Linked DNA regions of Nothobranchius furzeri. The protein of the gene in region 3 purifies or fractionates together with the protein of the main gene of each other region. This does not show direct contact. Links are inferred from orthologs where the notes say so. Each region holds a gene or a part of one and is shown on either strand. Other genes may lie near its edges.

Region 1 (3,607 bases), on a different chromosome or scaffold from region 3:
AAAGATTGAAACATTAGATTTTGTCACTGTAAAATTTTCACTATATCCTTACATACTGCACCTTTAATTATTTCATGCCATCCATTAGAGTTCAGAGATAATAACCCACTTATTTTAGTTAAAATGTGTTACCATGACTTTGGTCCTGGTCTAGGTAGAGTTTAAGCCGCCTACTGCGAAGGCCGAAAACTTTAGCTGTCTCAGAGAGCAGACCAGAGTAATCAAGCGCATTCTGACCCATCGGGTTCACCAACAGGAGGGTACCAACATCTCCAGCCTGGCACTCTGAAGAAAACACAGGATATTAGAAATTTCCAAAATAGGATTTGATCTGAATGAAGAATTTTACTAATCCTAAACTTAAAGGTCAACTTTACTCATATTTTCAATACTTCTGCAGTGGTCTTTAGTAGGAATGAATGCCTCTTAAGTCATACTGTGTGTGTGTGGGGGGGGGGGGGGGGGGGGGGCACACTCTGGTGCACCTGTCTGAGGAGGTAGAAGGCAGCTGGAGCCAGAAGTAGCTTCAGATGATAAGATTTGGAGTCTTATTTCCCGATATTTGGACATCTCACCTCTGATTGGCTAACAGCAATGCAACTCTACCACAGACTCGGTTTGCTGTGCAACGTTAATGTTTTATCTTCATAAATCGCACAAGTCTGCAGGAGTTCTGCTGAGTGGTGGAGTTGCTAATGCTAACAGTTAGCTTCTACTAGTCGAGACATTCTCTGCTGCTTCATGGACGTTAAACCAACAACAGCCTTTCATGTCACGAGTCAAGATGGGTGAGTCCATGAATGTTAAGTGACAGTGCGACGTAGATCTGTCAGGTTTTTCTGAACTGAGCATTTTTCTGTCTATTTTCTATGAGAAGCTAATGCAGGAGATAGGTGCAGGAGACTATTTTTATGTTTAGCCTGCATGAAAAACTTTATAATCAGAAATAACTAATACGTGTTTTTTTTCCCGTAAAGTTGGCCTTTAATCTCTGGGAAAAGGAGTGAGTAAAAGCAAAACCTGCGCAGGAATTAAAGTTGTCAACAATTTCTCCCACAGAATTCAAAAGCCTTCTTCAAGGGATAAAATAAAACATTGCCCCCATCTCAAATATGAAAAACTGACTTCCAGAAAATGAGAATGTATATTAGACTTGGACTCAGACTGAGAACAATCAAAAACAAATGATCAGCTGTTAAGCAGCGAAAGCCTTAAAGTAGAATAAAACCTCTGCAACAGTTCCTGATTATAATAACACTTTTAGGAAACATTGATTGTAATGACTAAACACATGTCCACCCTTCCTCTTGAATAAGGGGAACGTGTGTGTGTGTGTGTGTGTGTGTGTGTGTGTGTGTGTGTGTGTGTGTGTGTGTGTGTGTTGTAGGTGTTTCTCACCAGCTGGCTGTGCGTCGCACAGCAACAGGTTAACATAGGGGCACAGTAGGGTGTCAGCAGCAGGGGGGGCAGAGCCCAGAGAGGAGGGGTCTGACACCACCAACAAAGTTTTGCCACTCAGGGCTTGCAGATCAGTTTCGTTGGACAATTCTGTAAAAAACACACAAAAGAACATGTGAGCAAATAGTTTTTAGAAAAATAGAAGAAAACAAAATTCCGTTTTTGTTCATTTATAATACTGGTCAGTTTTAACATGCCATGGTGGGAGATAATTAGCACACACAATTTATTGTTTTAGAAAACATCACATACCGGTTCCACCACTGAAGAATCTCAGTGAGGTGTTGTTGGTTCCAAAAATGTTCCTGCAGGCATTCTTCAGTTTGTTCCAGTCAAGTCTGTTATCCCCTCTGGGGTTCTCCAACAGCACAACACCCTCTGAGGAGAAAATACACACAAATACAAACAGGATCATCAAAGATACATATTTTGCTTGCATAGCACCAAATTTGTGCTATGTGTGTGTGCAGTCACAGACAACCAAAACATGGTTACAGTAAGACTTTGTGTTACCTTGTTCTTTGTGGTTGACCTTCACTCTGAGGTTGACATATGTGCAGGCTGGTCCGTTTAGTATTGCTCGAGGAGATGAAGATCCTTTTACTATGGTCAACTCCAAGTCTGAGCCCTTCAACTACAAATACAACCAAACAAAAGCTCAAATGAATAAAAACATAGTCTGAAAAGAAGGAATGAGGTGACGAGTACTACATTTATAGATGCAAGGTATTAATACCAATATGAGAGTAATCATGTGTTAAGTGTGACTCATACTTGTGATTTCATACATTGATCGGCATCAGCATGTTTCATGAAGAAACAACAGCCTGCATGTTCGTGAGTATGAATCACACCATGACAAACAAATCCCACTTCTCCTGAAGGCATCGTCTCATACCGGAGTCGTTTCCTCTATGATGACGCTGGCAGTATCGGGAACAGGGAAGAGCAGAAGTGGAGCCTTGGTGGTGGCCAGAATAAAGTCGGTGTGAGCCTGGATCACAGATGCCAAGTATTCCCCCTCTGGTCGGCAGCGGTAGTACACGGTTATTTCATCAGACGGCACCAAATGTCCCTGATAATCAAAAAGATATTTTTTATGCACGAAAATAAAGAAAGAAAACTAAAAAGATTCTGTTCATTCCTGTGATGCTGTGAGACAAAGTAACGGTACAACAAAATGCTGCATAACTAATATTTCAAGCCATGGTATCAAACTCCAGAAGATGCAACAAATCACTTTTTAGCAACAAGTTGCTTTTTGACCATTGTTTTCATTAGTAATAGAAAAAGGGAGTACAGCTCCCAAAAAGAAGAAAAGACAAGGGTAAAAAAAAAAAACTACTGGAAAGACTAACCAGAAAAGGCATTTTGGTAATAAAACGCAGAAAACAGACAGTATAGTAACAAATAAAGACAGAAGAGGATGATGGGATGTTTAGCTGGAACAAAGCCCATCTATTTTGGCATCGCTTGCTGCTTGCTCCCACTAACCTTGCTGCATCCAAACCCATTGATCTCATTCTAATCTACAGTGTGCAGCTGTGCACATCTGTGCATGGCCATACACACACTCCCTCTGCAGTGCACACACACCTCAAGGGCAGAAGAATGGGAAAAGCTAGATATAAAAGAGCAGTCAATCAATGGAGGAAAGTTTTATAGGCTTCTACGAGTCAAGGTCCTCGTTCTGATGGTGTGTGTATATGTGTGTGTCCAGCTCTTAGTCTATAGAAAAGTTTAATTAATATTTCTCAAGTGGCTGAGGGAGGACTTTGGCCAGTTTTTAGATTTATCGCATCACAATCGACAAGCTACTATTGAACATGTGCACAAGTTTTTTTTTTTTTAAATCATTTCCCATCCACGGGGTGGAAAATTCGTCATAGATCTCAGTTTGAAATAACTGGAGGAATTTAGCCTGGCTGGACGCCAGAGCACAGCGCTGCTATAGGGGGACGGAAACAAACTGTTTGTTTCTTGTGAAAACAAGAGGCTGCTGGCTAATCCGTCTTTGCTCCCCAGTTTCCTTCAAAGCTCCAACATCAGAATCTGAAAGGGGCCAGACTGTAATTAAGCTTCTATTAAGTCTGCCTTATGATGGAGAAACCTCTAACTGTGACGCTGTAGTGGAAAGATTTCAAAACCG
Region 2 (4,287 bases), on a different chromosome or scaffold from region 3:
GATAAGACTGAGATCCTCATCTGTGCCCCAGACAAGCTGGTTCCCAAAGTCAGACTCTCTTGGTCAGCGTGCTTCCCACACCAAACCTTCTGTCAGGAATCTTGGCGTGACCTTTGACCCAGCTCTCACCTTGCATTCTCATGTCAGTTCTCTTGTTTGCTCTTCCTTCTTCCATCTCAGGATCATTGCTAAGCTGAGCCCCATTCTGTCCCGCTCTGAACTTGAGACAGTTATCCACTCCTTCATCTCCTCATGCTTAGACTACTGTAACTCTCTTTTCACGTGTCTGAGCAGAACCTCCCTGAACCGTCTACAGGTGGTTCAGAATGCCTGTGCTCGGCTTCTGACCAAGTCCTCCAAATACACCCACATCACCCCGCTTCTCCTCCAGCTTCACTGGCTGCCAGTCAACTTCAGGGTTCATTTCAAGATCCTGGTTCTGGTCTATAGGACCTTACATAGACAAGCACCATCTTACATTGGTGATCTTCTTAGTCCCTACACCCCCAGCAGGTCCCTGAGGTCCAGTGACCAAAGCCTACTGGTTGTGCAGTGCACCAGGCTAAAGACCAAAGGTGACAGATCATTTGCTGCTGTGGCCCCCAGACTCTGGAACTCTCTCCCCCTGAGCCTGAGATCAGTGGACTCAGTGGTCTCCTTTAAAAAGCAGCTGAAGACTCACTTGTTCAAGCTGGCTTTTGGATGACCTTTTTCACCCCTCTCTCTTTATTCTGCTCTCCCCACCTATTCCACCTTCCTCAGGATCCACTGACTTCCCTCTTTCCTATTCACTCTCTCTTTCTTAACATTTTTTCTCTTAAATCCCAATTGCCTATTTTTGCTCATTTTAAATATATATTTTTAAACATTTTCTAAATGCTTTTTTATATTTTTACTTTTTTTTTGTTTTTGTGAAGTGCCTCATGATTTTTATCTTGAGAGGCGCTATAGAAACGATATTTTCTTCTTCTTACACTCTTATTGACACACACACACACACACACACACACACACACACACACACACACACACACACACGTATTTTTTCTCTTCCTTCCCTCAGACAAAGTTAAGCCCCTCTTTTGCCACCCTGTCAAAATTTTCTCTATGCCCGCCACTGGCTGGAGGACCTGAATACTGTCATACCTAAAAAAAATAAATAAATAAAAATCCGTGGCCTTTGTTAAAATGTGAATTTGTACGTTTCCCTGACGTAATGCCTCATTTGTTTACAATTATTCCACATTTGACGGCTGCCTGCCTGCTGCTCCTTAAGGTGCGCTGGATGGCATCAGCAGGATATACCGAGTTTTCTGCCCTCCTTTCGCATCCTGATGCCACGTCAGGAGAGCATACGCAGGAAGATTAAACTTGACTGACATCCCGATCGACCAATCAGGTGGCGCCATTGGAGATGGTGGTTGGCTCTACACAGAAGGGGGCGAGGTTTACTGACAGGCATCCCCGGATACCACCAGAAACTGAGTAACTGTATCTGCTACTCAAGCTGTAGACATGTGTGGTGAGTAGTTGTTCTGCGCGCTTTTGTTATTTAGTCAAAATGTATATTACTTATTAGCCATGATGAACAGTAGACAGAACTGTAACAGCGTGTGTAGACTACAGTTTCAGTGTGACGGTTGTTAGCTAGGGTGGCTAAGCAGAAACTAGCAAACACGAGCTGATGTTTCTGATGCTGCTACTCAGCTAAATATAAAACACTCACTGTTTGATTTTCTGCTACTCCCTCTGGTTGTGAGTATTGGGTTTTAGTTGTGACATGTCATGCTGACCGAAACTAAAGTTAATACAGCGTTCTTCCTCGCAAGGGCTAAACGCCCACCTCTCGTTACTTTCTGTTAGTTAAGTATTAATTTAGATTTTTGGGTTTCTTTTGAAACAAATGTGTTTACGTGTCTTAATATAAAATAAATGTAACCGAAAGTCACTAAAGTCAGATAGAAAAATACCCTTAAATACGCCTTTATTTCTAATACGTGTGCCTTGCTCATGGTCGCTGGGTAGATGCTGTGCTTTGTGCTCGTCAGACCGATAGCTGATGTCAGTCTACCATCATTGTCATTGCTATCTGACCAGACCCGATAAACCAGTCTGTTCTCATATATATTAAACTGTTTGTTCCTCGCTGACGTTGATCTTCTTTGTCCTCATCTCTTCATCAGAAGTTGTAATTTATTTCCCCCTCTCTCTTCAGCGGTTTCTCGGTCACCCCCACCTCTCCCACTTGCTGTTCTGAATGAAAGCCCTGTTTCATTCAGTCAGCTGGTTTTACATTTGCATTTCTCCAACAGAGTAGATCCAAGTAATAAACTTGGTTCCTCCTTTGACTAGAGTGGCATAGCTTGCAGTGTTTGCACTGGATGTCACAAAGTGCAGATTAAGGCAGCTGGAAGTGAAATGCTCAAATCATGATTTGTGACAGTATTTGGAGCTGTTACTGTAGCATAATTGTGTTTAAGTTTATAGGAATTATCCAGAAAATGTGATTGCATATTAAAAAGTGTGTATGTGAAGCTAAAATGTGTCCGATGGGTTTCTGTCTTAAGACCATTGAACCGCCTTAAATGCTCTGTTCTGTTTCAAAGTTCTTCCTAACAAGACATAACAATGTCTGCAATTGTGGTTATCCTCCTTGTAAGACCGGTATCTACAAACGCAGCTCTTCAGCTTTGCGACACAGAACCCCAAACAACTCGAGCTGGCGTCATCAAATAACTTTAGTTTCTCATGTCAACAAAAGGATTCCTTCTAATTGTATTCCTAGTTTTTGTCTCTGCCTTAATATATTCGGCGTTGCAGTTGGGTTAAACTAGTTTACAATTGAGTGAGCTGTAAGAACAGTGTTTAAAAATTATTATTACTGCCACATAATGTGGATCTTCTAGATGAAAAACAAAACAAGTAGAACCAGAGTAAAGAAAGTAAAGAGTTAATGAACTTTGTCTCTTAAGCTGTCCTCTAGACTTTGTTTACTGCAATGAGATTCTAGGTGTTTATTTATGATTTTAAGTTATTTTATTTATTTAGAATGGTTTGGGTAGTCATTTTTGTTCTCTCATTTCTCTAGAATGATATTAAATGACAGAAATAAAGTTTTGGGGACTTTCGCCTTTTTTCAGGAATCTTTGCCTATCTCAACTACCATGTTCCAAGGACTCGTCGTGAAATCCTTGAGATCCTCCTCAAAGGGCTTCGACGTCTGGAATACAGAGGCTACGACTCAGCTGGTGAGAAAGAATCAAGAGGGGTCTTCTCCCTGTTTTAATTTCTCTTTTATCAGGTTTTTGTACATTTTGTATTCTTGTGAGATATTTATTTGGACGCTATCGCTCAGGAACCTGTGATAGGACTTTTATGAGCTAAGATGTTTGGAATAGTTGTAGTTGAGATGATAAATCAGGTCATAATTTCATTTGATATGTCAGCATCAAGAAACTAAGCTCTACGGTTGACCCTAGTCGACTGTTTAGTATATATTCACACATTAATTAAAAAAAATGTCCAGGTGTGGGAATCGATGGAGGCAATGGCAAGGATTGGGAAGCAAATGCCAAGTCCATCCAACTGATCAAGCAGCGTGGAAAAGTGAAGGTCCTCGATGAGGAGATCAATAGTAAGATGAAGGTTACACTTACACTTTGTTTCTGAAAGTCCCGGGAATCTAATTGTGGTTCGTTTTGTGTTTGTGCGACCTTCAGAGCAGCAGGATATTGACCTGGATGTGGAATTTGATGTTCACCTGGGCATCGCTCACACTCGCTGGGCGACCCATGGTGAGCCCAGCCCCGTCAACAGTCACCCACACAGATCCGACAAGAACAACGGTCAGCTGTGTTAAAGATGCCGAACCAAACAATTGTTTGTTTGAACTGTGCTCAGATGTCAGAGGTAACTGAAGGTTAAATGTTCTCTTTCTAAACTTACAGAATTCATTGTGATTCACAATGGAATCATCACCAACTACAAGGACCTGCGGAAATTCTTGGTGGGTAAAAGTTTTTCTTCTATAGTTGTGTATGTAATTTAATCACTTATGGTAGTTGAGTCTCACCCACTTACCATCTCCTCAGGAGAGCAAAGGCTATGAGTTTGAGTCTGAGACGGATACAGAGACCATTGCCAAGCTGGTGAAGTACATGTATGACAACCGGGAGAATGATGACATCAACTTTGCCACATTAGTTGAGCGTGTTACTCAGCAGCTGGTAAGAACCTTTTGACCTTTGTTTGTGTGTTACTGACGAATAACAACTGAACACATGTTTT
Region 3 (4,279 bases):
ATTTGTAATTAAAAAGACTACGATGGATCGTTGTCTACATATTTAATCTGCCATTTGATTTGACTGATGGACAGCATTGATGCGTTCATATTTCACAACAAATGTATAAACTCTACAAAGAAAAAACAAATACAGCAAATGTGTTCAGTGACAGAAAAGAATATTAGCAGAATATATTTCCTGTGAGGATTGGCCAACAGTACTATTGTAAAAGACAATGTGACGTGACTCTTCTCCTGTGAAAATACATTTACAATTTAAGCACATGAAAATGTATAGCTTTTTTTTCCACATTTTATCATTTTCTTTTATTTGCTTTGCCCATAATTTAATTTACATTGTAGCAAACAGTGATTGCAGCATCCATTTTTCCTCTGAAAAATTAATTCTGCCTTAATATCACATTGTTTTTTCTCACTGCCAGACTAGTGTGTCATTTTGCCAAACCTAACAGTCACACACACACACACACACACACACACACACACACACACACACACACACACACACACACACACACACACACACACACACACACACACACACACACACAAAGTAAAATGAAAGAAAATCTCACTCCAAGACTTTTTTTTAAAGATGGCAGCCCTTGAAGCTATATTTCTTTGATCATGGAGTTCAAACGCAGTTGACATCTCTCTGAATCTGTGGGAATCTCTGAGCTGTGATGCCCTACAGCTGCACATCTCCATTCATGAATATTTAAAATGAATATGGTCTGGATGTCAGGTCTGATAGGACACAGATGATGTATCTCATCTGTATGTATCTCAAGTAGGTCTGTTGTGCATCCATCGGATTAAATGTTTCATGAAGGCATGACTATAACCGGGATTTAAAAAATCTCTGCATGCTGAATCTTCTTCTGCAAGCTGTGAGACCATGCATGGTTGTCAGCAGGTTGTCCAGCAACTAGAAGGGTGTATGATTGATTCAGACAGCTGCTGTTGTGTCCTTGGGCAAGACACTTGGTGGTGGTGGTTGGAGGGACCAGTGGTTTTATCATGAAGCCAGCCAATACAACGAACTGTACCATACAATTTATTGTTTGTTATATTTTAAAAAGTGACTAGTTCTCTGTTTCCCAGCTTCAAATTAAAGGGGAAGAAAATGCCCTTTGACTCACTTTTTGCATAAAGTAAATGTATAATTTACTTTGGGGCATTTCTAGTGCCCTCTTGTGGGGGAAAAATAAAACTTTTGAAAGGTCACATTTTTACAGTTGAAATTTTGGTGAATTATTTTGAAATTTATTCAACAATATCAAGAATTTGGCATTTATGTGGAACATTTGAATTATTTATTTCATATTTGAGTTCAAAAGAGAGTTGGTGATTTTTTGAGACTTTTTTCATAGGTGATTAAATTTTCTCTTTAAAAGAAAATATTTCGTCTTTTAAGAATCCCTGCATTGAGTAAAGTCTCCAAAAACATTTATTTAATTTTTATTTATTTTAATTTTATTTTTAGCGAATCAGCCAATTACACGTGAAGAACGCGTGAGACGTAACGAAAGTGCTGAGCCGGAACGACGGCAGTATTTACTTGTTTCGTGAGATTTCATCATTCTCTGGAGGTCGCGTTACAGCGGTCCATGCTTCTCCGCAGCGCAGCGTTATCACTGCTGAGGACCAGCGCTGAGATTTCCTTCTCCTGTCGGCCGGTAACGGTCCGTTTGTGTCGGCTGTCCCATCGCCAGCCGCTCGGTAGAAGGCCCTTTTCCACCTCGGTCTGCCTGCTTAAGAAAAAGAAAAAGAGCCTGTGGCTGCAGCTTGCGGAAGAAAAGACCATGGACGGAAACATTGAGGAGATTCTCGCCCCTTTGAGGCTTGCTGTGAAAGAACAGGTAATATTTGCTTTCTGCCACTTTAAAACTAGTATATTTTTTTTAAAGTAGTGAGGTAACTTAAGTGAGAAACGGTCTGAAGTGGTTAAGCTAACCGGCTAGCCTAGCCGGCTAACCCCAGCCTGTCAATGAATGAGAGCAGACTGGAGTCGCTACAGGAGCTAACCGCTAGGTGATATTCATGTGCCACGTTTCAGAGCTGCTCTGCAGGCTGATGATAGCAGGGTGGGGTTGTTTTATATTTTTTTTAAAGGAGGTTTATTTTGTGCTGCTACCAAAAACAATCATCAATCTTTTTGCTTCCCAAACACGTCCAGGCGTTGGCTCAGTTATTTTTGGCGCAGTGGTTTGCAATGTTTTCTTCTGGTTTAGGGAGAGCTGGTGCGCCAAATGAAACAGGAAGGAGCTCCTGAAGTGGATGTGACTAAAGCTGTAGCTGAACTGAAAGCAAGGAAGAAAGCTCTAGAAGCCAAGGTAAGAAATTCATAGTTTCATTTGTTATGATTTCATCTGAGAGGGATGCCAGTCCCACACGTTCATCCATGCAGAGATGACACAAATTTGGCACTGATCAAATGGTAATATCACAAACTGACATGTATATTAGTATTTAAAGAGCTTGTCATTGGTTGCACACATCAAAACAAATCAACTTAAGTAGTGGTGAAGCTGAGAGTCTGCAGCCTCCTGGCTAGTATTCTTGGGACAGTCATATATAATTTTACCTCTGTGTTGCACAATTTGCAGGAACTGGCATTGCAACCCAAAGATGACATTGTTGACAGACCCAAGATGGAGGATACCCTCAAGAGGCGGTTCTTCTATGACCAGGCCTTTGCTATCTATGGAGGTAATGCTCTGGTGGCTAATAATAGAAATCGAGATTAAACTGACACCTGATGCATTCATTAACTCTCCTCAGGTGTGAGTGGCCTGTACGACTTTGGTCCTGTTGGCTGTGCCCTGAAGAACAACATCCTGCAGGCTTGGAGGCAGCACTTCATCCAGGAGGAGCAAATCCTGGAGATCGACTGCACCATGCTGACCCCTGAATCCGTCCTCAAGTAGGCGACTGGTTAAAGAAAAGTGGTTTAGTTGGAATAGTTATTACTCACATGGAAATTAAAGAGAATTGGCATTCTTTTGTGGAATGCTAGGCCACATTACGGCTGGAGGAAGTGCCTGGTGGTTCCTGGAGTCGGCTCTGAAGTGCTGAACTTTAGGTTTTTAATAACAGGCAAACATTGATTTCTGTGATTTTATGCATGGAAGCTGCCTCTATAGCAGCGCTCCATAGCCCGGTCGCAGATACACTTGTTAAAGACATAAGAATCACCTTGTTTGTTCTCTCGTTGATGCTGATTGATTGTTGCACCTTTGGCTCCTCCAGGACTTCAGGACACGTAGAGAAGTTTGCAGACTACATGGTGAAAGACGTGAAGAACGGTGAATGCTTCAGAGCCGACCACCTCCTCAAAGGTGAGAATTTGTCTCTTTCTTCTTTTTTTTTGAAAGGTTTAAATCTGCATGGGACTCTGTCGTGGCGATGCGCCTCGGGGAGAATGAGAAACATCAGTCTGGATCACAGAGACTCCACCCGCGCTAAAAGCCTGTTTGGATGTTGAGACATGTCAGTTCCTGTTGCGTCGCTTCAAAAGATGATTTAATTAACAATCGGAACGAAAAACGTTTCACATTTTGATCTTAACAACTTCAGAAAGCTTTTTAAAAATTCCAGATTCGTCTAATTTAGTACAAGAACTAACTTATTAGGAAGAAATCTTGGAAGGAGGATTTGAATTTAGACTAAAAATTCCTTCAGTTCAGTCCTTTAGAGTTTTTACCAAACGGGATAACGGTGAGTGGTTTCTGCTGCAGCTCATCTCCAGAAGCTGATGTCCGATAAGAAGTGCGCCGCAGACAGGAAGTCAGAGATGGAGAACGTCATCACTCAGGTTGGTCTTCACTCAGAATCTCTACTGATATGATTCGTCATCGCCCTTCTCATTATATTTCGTTGTTTTCCAGTTGGATAACTACTCCCAACAAGAGCTGACGGACCTCTTTGTCAAATACAACGTGAAGTCGCCGACTACAGGAAACGAGCTCTCTCCCCCCATCGCCTTCAACCTGATGTTCCAGACGTCCATCGGCCCGGGAGGAAACATGCCCGGGTATGATCCAGCTCAAACCGGAGGAGCTTTAGTGACGTGTGCAGATTTTTACCGCAGGTTCTGGTCTGAATTTGCAGCTATCTGAGGCCTGAAACCGCTCAGGGAATCTTCCTAAACTTTAAGCGTCTCCTGGAGTTCAACCAGGGCAAACTCCCCTTCGCTGCTGCTCAGATAGGAAACTCCTTCAGGAACGAAATCTCCCCTCGCTCTGGTCTCATCAGAGTCAGGTGAGCTAATCCTC

Evidence for each region.
Region 1: the proteins of gars1 (region 3) and iars1 fractionate together in Homo sapiens (co-fractionation; 3 studies listed by BioGRID). This does not show direct contact. The link is inferred for Nothobranchius furzeri from reciprocal best matches to the Homo sapiens genes GARS1 and IARS1.
Region 2: the proteins of gars1 (region 3) and glutamine--fructose-6-phosphate aminotransferase [isomerizing] 1 fractionate together in Homo sapiens (co-fractionation; 3 studies listed by BioGRID, with this or other methods). This does not show direct contact. The link is inferred for Nothobranchius furzeri from reciprocal best matches to the Homo sapiens genes GARS1 and GFPT1.

What each region holds. Positions count from the first base shown.
Region 1 is NC_091743.1:62,688,425-62,692,031, reverse strand, and holds part of iars1 (isoleucine--tRNA ligase, cytoplasmic), read right to left. Parts: intron 2,534-3,607; coding exon 2,357-2,533; intron 2,093-2,356; coding exon 1,972-2,092; intron 1,837-1,971; coding exon 1,711-1,836; intron 1,549-1,710; coding exon 1,399-1,548; intron 286-1,398; coding exon 133-285; intron 1-132. UniProt on the Homo sapiens protein: Catalyzes the specific attachment of an amino acid to its cognate tRNA in a 2 step reaction: the amino acid (AA) is first activated by ATP to form AA-AMP and then transferred to the acceptor end of the tRNA.
Region 2 is NC_091757.1:40,177,767-40,182,053, forward strand, and holds the start of glutamine--fructose-6-phosphate aminotransferase [isomerizing] 1, read left to right. Parts: upstream 1-1,428; 5' UTR 1,429-1,515; coding exon 1,516-1,522; intron 1,523-3,140; coding exon 3,141-3,248; intron 3,249-3,526; coding exon 3,527-3,634; intron 3,635-3,719; coding exon 3,720-3,845; intron 3,846-3,947; coding exon 3,948-4,006; intron 4,007-4,091; coding exon 4,092-4,226; intron 4,227-4,287.
Region 3 is NC_091747.1:50,231,843-50,236,121, forward strand, and holds the start of gars1 (glycine--tRNA ligase), read left to right. Parts: upstream 1-1,428; 5' UTR 1,429-1,612; coding exon 1,613-1,864; intron 1,865-2,236; coding exon 2,237-2,338; intron 2,339-2,611; coding exon 2,612-2,714; intron 2,715-2,786; coding exon 2,787-2,928; intron 2,929-3,044; exon of another isoform or gene 3,045-3,180; intron 3,181-3,254; coding exon 3,255-3,343; intron 3,344-3,742; coding exon 3,743-3,819; intron 3,820-3,892; coding exon 3,893-4,038; intron 4,039-4,115; coding exon 4,116-4,265; intron 4,266-4,279. UniProt on the Homo sapiens protein: Catalyzes the ATP-dependent ligation of glycine to the 3'-end of its cognate tRNA, via the formation of an aminoacyl-adenylate intermediate (Gly-AMP).